Bombyx mori: one gene and its partners. The protein of the gene in region 1 interacts with the protein of each later gene in a pairwise test. Links are inferred from orthologs where the notes say so. Each region holds a gene or a part of one and is shown on either strand. Other genes may lie near its edges.

Region 1 (3,661 bases):
ACAGAAAACAGCTGCGGACGGACCAGCGTTCCGTCGAGGTCAATGACCGCGCGTGTCAGCTGATTTCTTTATTTTGTTACATTGCATGCAAAACACACAATCCAACGGCAACTACCGGATGTGTTCGTCTTTAGCGTTATTGTTGATGTACCAACTAATTATGATTTAAAAGTAATTATTTTCAAGAAGGGTTAATATAAGCATTTATATTCTACCAGGTATGAACAGATTGAAAACTACCCTATCCTGCCCATAAATGACCTATTTTAACAAATAATATCGATTCGTTGATGCATTAAACAAATGCTAATCAACAAATAGATTTTAAATATTCAATCATTTTTCTGATTTCAATATTCAATGAGTTTCACTGTTACTAGCGCTATGCTTAACTCTGTTGACAATTATTGTTTGCACATTTAGGTCATGTAAAGATACGTCCTTATATGTCTTATAAAATGCAAGGTGCATTTAGTAAAATACAAATATTGTATTTCGAAAACAATTTCATTAAAATGCAGTATTACTATGTACTTTAAGAACTTACTGCAACATGGCCTTAGTTTTAATAGACGGGTCATCGGGTCGGAAATGCTTGTACTGGTCGACGTCCTTCTCCAAGGTCAGTAGTTGTTTCTGCAACTTGTCACGGAGACTGGGCAGAGTGTCGCGGATATGGTTGGTGAGCTGTTGGTTCAACACTCGCTGTAGGTAAGGGGTACCGAGACGATCGGCCAAATGACGGTATGACGGGTGGCTGTTAATAACAAACAAAACAAAAAAAAAACTCATTATTATTATACGACTTATTACAAAATGTTCACGATTGACCTCCACGGTGAAGGAATAATAACATGGTGTAATAAAAATCAAACCCGCAAATTTGCGTAATTAATGGTGGTAGGACTTCTTGTGAGTCCGCAAGGGTACCAACCACCACGCTGCCTATTTCTGCTATGAATCAGTAATACGTTTCGATTTGAAGGGTGGGGCAGCCGTTGTAACTATACTGAGACCTTAGAACACATATCTCAAGGTAGGTGGCGCATTTACGTTGTAGATATCTATGGGCTCCGGTAACCACTTAACATAGGTGGGTTGGGAGCTCGTCCACACATCAAAGCAATAAAAAAAAGAATTATCACTCGTCAACAAAGTTTTGGTATTGCAAATGAATCACCTAAGGAAGAATTTTCTCTCAGCCGCAAGTGCAGCGGCTATGTCCTTGCGACCGTCAATGTCTTTCTGCGATCGGTTGACGACTCCGATGTAGCCTCGGCGCAGCGGCAGCAGCTTGTTCTCGAGCACGTCCCGCGCATCGGTACCCTCGTCCATCAAATCTAATTTTGTTATTACGCCGATAGTACGCAATCCTGGAAACCGATGTTTTTTTTTTTAGTTTTCCAACTCATAAACCAACAGATGTAACGACACGTTAATTAAATTATGTGATTCGAATATTTATTTATCATTTCATATCATAGTATATCATTTTATTCAATTCCAGTTTCACAAAAAGAAACGATGCCGTATAGAGATCGTTACCATCAGAACTTTAACGATTCTGTTTAGTATATATAATCTTTGGCAGTCCGCCGCTTCTCCACCCCTCACGCCTCTTCTTCATCCCGCTAAGCCGCTCCAGACGTGTATTTTAAATAAATCAATTTAAATTGTTTACAAATACTTATGCATGAAAAGTAGCATCTTTGTCTTTATTTGTGTTTCGGCTTGTGGAACACGAAGGCATAATTAAATGTTTAAACAAGAAAAAATACACATATTTTTTTTAAGTGCGCTTTTTTTTCCCTACCTAAGCTGATAGCTTTGAGAGGCTATTTCAGCGTAACCTTAACTAGTAGGTGAGCTCACGGGGTTCAAACCTGACGACGTGAGACCAAAAGAGCCGTGCTTCACCAGAATCTACTACCGGATCGGAAACGCGTTACGCGACCCACTGAGAAGATCCGGCGAGAAACTCAGTGGGCTGTGTCTGTGGGTTAATTTACTCTTGGAGCCCTTCGTCGCAAGCGACGGATTCGACGAGAACGATGACCGGTAATATTTAGGAAACACAATAGTTGTAATAAAATGATTTACTAAAAAAATACGAAACAATAATGAACTAGCAAATATCGATAATTTAATTTAATTTATAATTAATTTAAAAAAATAGCGAATATTTCAACTGTTAATGTTAAACACAAGTAATATTTAAAATTAAAACATTGATAAATCAATATTGTTCAGGTATTCTTTTATACCATTTTATTTGTAGCAAACATTGTGCTTTCGTTCAATTTAACGTTCACGATAAAAGTCGTTACTAACAAATTAATAATTAAATGAAATCACACGGCGTTCCTTATATTCGGCGATGGGATAATAAATTTTATAAATGTATACATGTTAATAATAAACTTTGAATTTTATTCAACAAACCTTGTGGGTCTACTTCTTTGGCAAGCTTCAGAGCATCGCTGTTGGCCAAATCCGTGTTGGCCGGAGTAACTGCCAGGATAAGGCATGATTCGCGTCTGATGAACTGGAATATCATCCCTTTGATTTGCTGCTCGATATCTATAGGCTGATCACCGATTGGCACTTTTGTCAGACCCGGCAAATCAATCAGCGTCAGGTTGAGCACTGCGAACAATAAAAATGCGTTTATTTTGTCATTAAAATATAATTATGACAAGAATCGTAATCGTAATAGACCCAAATTATAATTTTTGCGAGTTTTATTTATTTTATTTATTTAATATTTCTTCATCATAGAAGTAATTCGTGACATTTAGATAACTACGTTTTTCATTAGAAAAATTGATACCGGCTGCGGGATTCGAACACTGTCACTCGTCGCATCACTCGACACGAATGCACCGGGCGTCTTATCCGTTAGGCCACGACGACTAAAAAGTTTTAAGTTACTATACTTATTTTGAATACTACAAGTATTACTCCAAATGGCGACGAATAACGCCTTGGTCATCCGTATTCATGAAAACCGTAAAGTATTCAAAACATAAAAAACACGAGATTAAACCGTAAAAACAGTTTTAATAATGAGAAAATACTGTTACTGTGAAAGTTGAATGCCGTAAAACTACTAGAGGCGGCACCGTTAGCGTACCATGATCCCTTATCAGTGACCAGTTAAAATACTATCAGCGTAAGATCTACCTGACCACATAACGAAAATAATTAAAACGGCAACACAAATCCGTAGTATAGTATTTTTCCTATTATAACTCTCTTTAGGCATTCAAGCAAGATACTTAGGATTGAAAGATTTAAGGTTAAATAGGAATCATATTTCATCGGAAGTATGTATATTTAGTACATTTATATAGAAGAAGAATATAGATATAGAAGATAGAGAATTATAATAGAAGATAGAAGATAGAGAAGAAGATATAGAAGTATATTTTGTACTAAATGCGACTACAAAACTCAAATGTAATCAACATTAATTATGATACATTGTTTCCATATTTTTATAGAACGGTATTCTCGATTTCCACGTAACGTGAAAACAAATAAACAAGAATCTACGATGCTCGAACGCATTTCACAAAAGACTACATAGCTAATGATAAGACCGTCAGATAAGATATATAACTATGACACACTAAGATTCGTGAGTCATATACCGACACGA
Region 2 (3,761 bases), on another chromosome or scaffold:
ACATTAACGGTATAGTATAAAATTATGAGCAAGCTTTCTCTTGAGCGTTGTTCATTGACAGTTCTGAGAAACAAACACACAAATGGTTCCATACTCAATAGTATATAATACGCACTAGTATTTATCTATTCCACTGATACCACACTAACACTAATTTTACTCTCGCTTTAGATTTAGGATTGCTTTTGCACTACGCATTGTATTGCTTGTCTCGCTTCTCGTCCTTCCATTGCAAGACAAAATAGTTAAAAATTAACAAAAAAGTACGCTGGACATCAGCTGAACATCAACTCGCAATTTGAGACGTGAGATCGAAGTCTCAACTTTTGGCATCATCCGTAACTTGAGCTGATCGTAACAGAATCAAGTTATGTGATGAGCTATCTTGGGCTCTGGTAGAGCCCCTGGTCTACCCCACGTGTGATCGTTGTCTTCCATTCTGGTCTCCGACTTTTATAAGACGATTATATAACGGTGTTTGTGCGAGCTTCCCAGGACTGAACTTAGCAGGGTCACCTGTTACGTCGTTAATAGTCAGCGGGCGTCCTCTTTGGGTCCTAGCCTAACTTATCACGTTCAATGAGCTTACCAAAACTTCCACCATAGGTTTTTTTTTATTGCGATTTATGCTAGTTGCAGTAAACGAACTCATGTCCCAACTGCTGTTAAATCGTTACCGGAGCCATGTATCAACAACGTAAGCGCATGTACCAACGTGTCCCACCTTGAGATATGAGTTTTAACTCTCCGTTTTTACAGTACAGCAGCTGTCAACCCTTCAAACCAAAACGTAATTAACTGCTTCACGGCAGAAATAGGCATCTAGTGGTACCTACCCATGCAGGTTCATAGGACACCTTACCACCAGTAAAAGGTGGTAAGGCATAGGTAGGTGCTCGACTTACGGTCAAGATGCTCCGTCACATAAGTGATTAGTCAGTTTCACTATTTATTTATCTTTTTAGTATAAGTAGATAAATTTGATATATAGAAAACTAGTGGAAATTGTATAAAATCGATTTAATAGTCTTCAGTAACCTCTAATTTATAGGTATTATGTACAGACATACTCTGCGATAGGACGTGGTAGATTAGAAATTACTAGGTATATTGGTTGAGATAAATTAATGGACATCATTAATATAATCGATCGACCGTGACAGGTGCGTGACATACTGTGACTAATTTCAGGGAATGTGAAAAATTATTTACTCAGGATATCATTTAATAAATTTAAAAAAATACTAAAATTTTCTGTATACATTCAGATTTTCGTGTACGTGTATTTATGTGCCTTCTGCGCTAGATTTCAATAAGTAATGTGATAAAGAGAATGTGGCGTTATTTACGTTTCCTTTCACAGTGATAAGAATACGATAATAAGATAATTCGAAGGATTCTTAGCTTCGGACGAACTCGCTTCATATGGTAATAATTCATTGTTGTGTAACATTAATACTATAATTGTTTCAGGAGGTATGTTTGTATTGTGCACTTCGTGTTTGTTTATCGTTACAAGACGTATAAACAATAAGTGTCTTCTCGTTTAAGCTGGTTATTTAAGTCATTGACAGATAATAATCAATTGTCCAGTAAAACACTTAATCAACTTATTGGCAAATGCTTTCAGATCGGGATCGGTAATTTAGCAGCGTTAATTGGAAGCAAAAAAAAATTACTATTTTTCTTTTGGTTTGGTAATAGCAACATTAATGACAGTGTTCTGCTACAGTATTTTTCACACACAAAAAAACAGCATAGAAGCCCATTTAATTTCAAACTTATTACCATTAAAATCGTAATAAAATTTTAAACTTTATTCTATTTTGATCATCAACCTAAATAATAAGGACAAACCAATTAATAATTCCATACAATACTTCATACATATGGTTAAATTTTCAATACAATGTACAAAATCATTATCAATGTTACCTTTAAACTATAATTACTGCCTTATGGGACAAGTATTCCTAACACCTATAGCCCGTTAATTTAAATTTTATAAAACATTAACTTCAATTATTCATGATACTGAATAAAATGTGAAAAGTAGAACTCCATATTTTATTTTTCTTTCCCAGAAATGTCCAGTATTAAGATGAAACCACAGCCTAAATAAAACAATATTATGCTTCATTCAAAAGGTTTAACTAAGAGCATACACTATGAATGAAAATATATCTTCACTCACTGCTCCAATTTCTGTGTCCACATATCATCAACTGAGCTTAACAGGTAAGTTCAAATACATTTTGATCTAAACTGATTGAAAATTAATCTTGAAATATTTTTGCAAATGATATTAAATGAAATTATCAAATCTTCTAACACACATTGTATATTTTTAGTGGAATCAGCAAATATAAAAAATTCAGGCTTGTTCAAACCAAATCCATACCTGCAAGTTATAATTGATGATAAAATATTGAGAAAGACTGAAGTTATAAGGAACACCTTGCATCCAAAATGGAAAGAAGATCTTACTATTTTGGTGACGCCACAATCGCAATTACTGTTCCGTCTTGCAGATTATCATAGCTTTAGGAAAGACAATGTGATTGGTGAAAAAAAAGTGAACCTATTAAAAGTTTTGTTTTACTGTAATGGGAAATGTGAGAATTTAGAACTTACATTAGGTGAGTTAAACTGAACCAGTTTCTGTTGAAATTAAGAATAATTGAAGATTATTTAATATAGCCTTATAAAACTCTCTTCACTGAGAATTCATTTTAAAATAAGTACAATTTTTCAATATAATAAGAATGTAAAAGAAAGACATTACAATATTCAAAATTTGTGAAATTGTGCTTCATATAAATTCAGTAAACAAGTAAAACAAAACTTGTTGTAATGTTTGCACTTTTTTAGATTTAATGAAAACATCTTCTCAAGAGAATACTAGTGGAAATGCTGAGGTAAAAACAGCAGAACTGGTGTTGCTTCTAGATGGCTTAAGAATTGACCCTGGAGTGTTGACACAAACACGTGAATTACTTGGTGAAACGGCAAATACTGCAGCTCCCCTTAATGAAGGGGTGCGAGCCAGAATCAGAATGCGCAACAATCCTGAGACTGTTAGATCCATGATGCGATCACTAACACTTGGAGTAAGTTGATGTTTCTATTATTTGTATCATACAAAAAATTTAAAATAGAAACAATCCATCTACTACAACAAGGCTGCCTGGTTGAGTAATAACATTTATTCATGAATTATTATTAATTTCCATTAAATTGTTCATGACTAATTTAAGCTTTCCCATTCTATTTTAAAAAGGTTTATCTTTTGATCTATTTATATTTTAGTTTTAAATTACATTTTAAAGTTTTGAGATTGTAAAGAACTTTCATTAAAGAGTAAAGATATATTTTGCACATTCCATCAAAGTATAGTGTTTATATGGTCAATACAACTAAGAAGAAAAAGTTAGTTCTGTATAAATTATTTTTTTCATTTTTAAAGCCACCTCCAGGACCTCCACCAATGAGCAATGGGTCTATACATTTACCGAGTACTGCAACACAGTCATCATCAGAAACTGCAGGCCCCTCACAGCAGTCACGCCTGCCTGGTACACAGGATCCAACATCAACACAGCCAACATCTGCTAATACTGCTTACCCTAATGCTGCTGAGGAGCCTTTGCCTCCTGGGTGGGAAATGAGATATGATGGTTATGGTAGACGGTAAGTATTCCAACTCATAAATATTTAACGCGTCTCATACTAGCTGGTAGATCTTTCAATTCGATTTACAA
Region 3 (3,761 bases), on another chromosome or scaffold:
ACCACCTGTCATTTTAATAGCTGAAGTCAGCTTAGATGTTGATACTATGGTACCTTCATCCAAGCTTAAGGCATTGCCAAGACTATAAAATGCTTCTCCTATTTTCTGGCAGTCACTCTTGTATGGTCCTTGGAAACGTTTTGTTTGCACAATGCACATGCTAGACACAGACTTGATGGCTGTGTCGACACTGTTAATGAAAGTGTGGCACTGTTCTGTGATATGATCAACTTGTGATTGCAATAATGCTTTCTCAGGTACCACTAGTGAAACACAATAATTTAGACCTAGCAAATTATCTTTTTCAGCTTGCCTTTTACCAGCTTTCCATCTCTTTTCATCAGTACATGTTAAGAAGTGTTGCCAAACCTCGCTTCTGGAGAGCACAGGGTGCTTGCACATCCAATCTACAAACTCTTGGAGCTGAACTCGCCTGCGTTCGATTAGTTGCTCATCATATCTTCCAGATATCTGTTTGTCAGGCAGAGGGGGGATTGGAATAAGTGTGAACTTTTCTTGTAGTCTCTCATGGAGCCAGTCAAAGTGTTTGTATCTCCTGGACACTTGAATATTATTGAATGAAGGAGTCAGTTGATAGGCTATAAAACTCTTGATCCCTTTGAATTTAGATTCCTTTTTTGGAGAGGCCACAGTCACAATATATGGCTGAGTAATTGGGGACCAAATATATCCATCTTCATCTTGGATAATGTAGACCTTTTCAGAGTCTGGTACTTCTACATTAAGGGTTGCCAGCAGGTAGCTTTCTCCACTAATCTTTGAAGATGGTGCAAATTTGTTTTTTCTAACTGTGCCCACTGATGAGCTATAATTTGAAGATGTGTCATCTATGTGTTGATTATAATCATTAATAGGCATACCGGGAATCACAATGGATGATTGCTGGTTGTACTGCGATGTCTTGTTTTGTTGCTGGGCTGGTCCTATCTCTGAGTATGTATCATCTTCCCAGTCATCATCCCAGCCATCTTCATGCGAAACTCCTCTTTGGTAATTGTTATCTCCTGCACTGTAGTGTTGTTCGCCCCAGTCATCTGCTGCTTGATCATATCTAGGTGCTGGAGGAGCAGCTTTAGTTTGAATTGATTCTTCTGGTGTCAGTTTTCTGACATATGCAGCAGGAAATAGACCAGTTTCTCCATTAGATTTTTTTCCTTCCCACCAGCCTTCTCCGATTTCTGTGTTGAGCAGTGTGAGCACCTCTCCACAAGTTATGGACATCTCTGTGGTGCCAGGCTCACCAGTGAAGTCATACAAAGCCTGCACTTGGGTCGCCATTTTAAGACCCGTACCTACAACAATTGCAAAATAGATTATTGTATTAACCTGAACGATTTTATTAGGAAGGTTTGTTACATTGAGTACAAATTTTATCTTATCAGTGTTATCTAGAAATGTAGGGAGTATGCACATAAATGATAAATAAATTGCGATGTTCGTGTTATAACTATTATTATTTTATTTAGTTGTAAAATTTGAAGCCGAAATTGGTGGGCTGTAAGGCGCTGACACATATCGCTAGTTTCATAATAGCACCAATTAGCTGTAATTGATGAATTTGATCTCGTTTACAGTTTTAGGATTCTGCTCGAAATTGTGACATGTTCGTATTAAGCATTTGTATTGTATTCAAAAGTACGTCGAAAATGCATTGTTCGCTGTGTAAAACCCAGAAAAGTAGTATGTTTATTTAAAAATTCTTTGATGTGAATAATTTTTAATGTATATGAAAATTTTTATTACTAATTCATAAAGGTTTTCATATGTGAACGAAGTATTGGTGGATTTTGAAGGTGAAACGGTTTTAAATTCAACAATTTTGCGTTGGAAATCAAACCAATGACGTCAATTTTGAACTCGTGTATTGTGGAACTTCAGTGAACAATCGCAGTATTAGTCGGTTCTGCACTTCAATTTTGATTCGATATCACTTATGTAAACACATTTACACAAATAATGCGTTTTACTTACTGTTTTTCAGTATAAAACGTAATTTCAAAGCGGATACCCCGAATGTACAGTCATCTGTTTGACAGATTAACAAAACTTGTTTTCTATAGCTATTGTTCTCTTACAACATATAGTGTAAAATTTGTATGTTCTCGTTGATGTGGCAAGGAAATGTTCCTTTTACACGGTTAATAGTCATTGGTCAGAGTAAATTATCAGGTATCAACATCCAATAGGAGACGGGCAACACAAAATAACCAATTAGAATCTCTTAGTCTAAGCGGAGTTAAAAAAAAATTATGTTTAGTGTTTATTAAAGTTATGTACTGGTGAAGAGAAAATTGCTGTGAAATAATTGACTCGACAGTAATTTTCATACAAATTTCTAATAATTAAAACTGTTACGATTTACAGTAGAATGAAATGTAGATGTCGCTACTGTTTCATGGAGGTTATATGAATAGAGCTAAAAGCGAAAAAATGCGCCAATACGATCATGGAAATCAACCCGAGTAGCCTTACAATGCTATGTGATAGCCACATGGGCACTGACGTTGGATAACAAACTAAGTAAAGGTATGTTATGGTGGCCTTACGGGCTCACCACAGTGGCGACATCTGCTACGAGATTTCAGTTGTAATTCCATTCAATAAAGGTACGACGCCGCGACGACTACGCAATTAAGTTAACAAAGTGCGATGAATGAAAACTTGATGTTGTAAACTGTGCGTGGGTTTTTTTATGGATCGAAACTTAGTCCAATAAATAGACAAGTGGGTTGATTAAACTTTCCTACGTCCTGGGGTTCGGGGATTAAATTATGAACAAGGCTTTAACCAAAAAAATGCTTATTGATCGAATGCGGACAATCAAATAAATATCTAATACATATTAGCATTCATTCTCTCATTTTTTCGCTTTGCACTCGTCTGTTCGACTTTGGCATTGTCGCGCTTTTCTTGTTTGCATACTACACCCCATCCTATGTTCCGGTATGCAATGGAGCTCGAACGTTCGTGAAATACGATTTCTATTATGGCCGTATGTTGTTGGTCTGCTCTCTACTAGATGGCGTTACTTGTTTTGGTCGTTGTGTGTTGCGTTATTTGCGAGATGGCTTTCATTATCTAGGTAGGTACGTACGGTTTGTAATCGTTTAAGTTGATCTGTTTACATTTGCATTTATATTTGTTTTGTTATTGGTATTTCTGCGTGTAAAATGTTGCCAAAATTTTCTTTAATAATAATACCTATGTCTATACTTAGTCTGGCCATAAATACTGTTACAAAGGAAAACAAAAAAAAATGTGTGCGTGTACTAGTGTACACACGTAAGAAGTGAAACTTATTTATGGCCTTATTTTTCGAAAAATGATCTACATGCAACTTTCTAGAAATTGGTTAAATAAAGTTAAATTAGATAAAGTTTAAACAAAAGGATTTTATTATCATAGACATGAATACAAAAAAGTTAAATTAGATAAAGTTTAAACAAAAGGATTTTATTATCATAGACATGAATACAAAACAGATGGCGCGTAACGGAAAAATGTGACGCGTAACCGAAAAATGTGACGGTAAATTTTTTTCCAACGCCGATAAGGAAGTTTCACTTCAAAAATTCTATGGCAAATAACATTTATTACTTTTACAGTGTGTTAGTTTAATACATAAATATAAAACAATTTAAAGTATAAAAGCTTATTCGAAGTGGTCTCCATTGGCTGCAATTCTGTCCTTTAAACGTTGAGGCCAGTTATCAATAGAAGCACGCAATTTTTCCATGGGG

The links.
Region 2: the proteins of dynamin (region 1) and E3 ubiquitin-protein ligase Su(dx) interact in binary tests that used the Caenorhabditis elegans proteins (3 or more experiments, as listed by UniProt). The link is inferred for Bombyx mori from reciprocal best matches to the Caenorhabditis elegans genes dyn-1 and wwp-1.
Region 3: the proteins of dynamin (region 1) and sorting nexin lst-4 interact in a two-hybrid assay, tested with the Caenorhabditis elegans proteins (2 studies listed by BioGRID). The link is inferred for Bombyx mori from reciprocal best matches to the Caenorhabditis elegans genes dyn-1 and lst-4.

The regions. Positions count from the first base shown.
Region 1 is NC_085121.1:5,669,304-5,672,964, reverse strand, and holds part of dynamin, read right to left. Parts: intron 2,647-3,661; coding exon 2,443-2,646; intron 1,374-2,442; coding exon 1,181-1,373; intron 758-1,180; coding exon 548-757; intron 1-547.
Region 2 is NC_085110.1:8,433,319-8,437,079, reverse strand, and holds the start of E3 ubiquitin-protein ligase Su(dx), read left to right. Parts: upstream 1-1,053; 5' UTR 1,054-1,163; exon of another isoform or gene 1,164-1,363; 5' UTR 1,364-1,428; exon of another isoform or gene 1,429-1,476; intron 1,477-1,498; exon of another isoform or gene 1,499-1,697; intron 1,698-2,084; 5' UTR 2,085-2,168; coding exon 2,169-2,238; intron 2,239-2,351; coding exon 2,352-2,639; intron 2,640-2,871; coding exon 2,872-3,110; intron 3,111-3,466; coding exon 3,467-3,690; intron 3,691-3,761. UniProt on the Caenorhabditis elegans protein: E3 ubiquitin-protein ligase which accepts ubiquitin from an E2 ubiquitin-conjugating enzyme in the form of a thioester and then directly transfers the ubiquitin to targeted substrates. Ubiquitinates klf-1.
Region 3 is NC_085119.1:13,643,477-13,647,237, reverse strand, and holds the start of sorting nexin lst-4, read right to left. Parts: upstream 2,217-3,761; 5' UTR 1,993-2,216; exon of another isoform or gene 1,765-1,992; intron 1,314-1,764; 5' UTR 1,300-1,313; coding exon 1-1,299. UniProt on the Caenorhabditis elegans protein: Involved in the signaling of vulval development by acting as a negative regulator of epidermal growth factor receptor (EGFR) signaling. Aids in phagosomal membrane tubule formation which is required for phagosomal fusion with endosomes and lysosomes.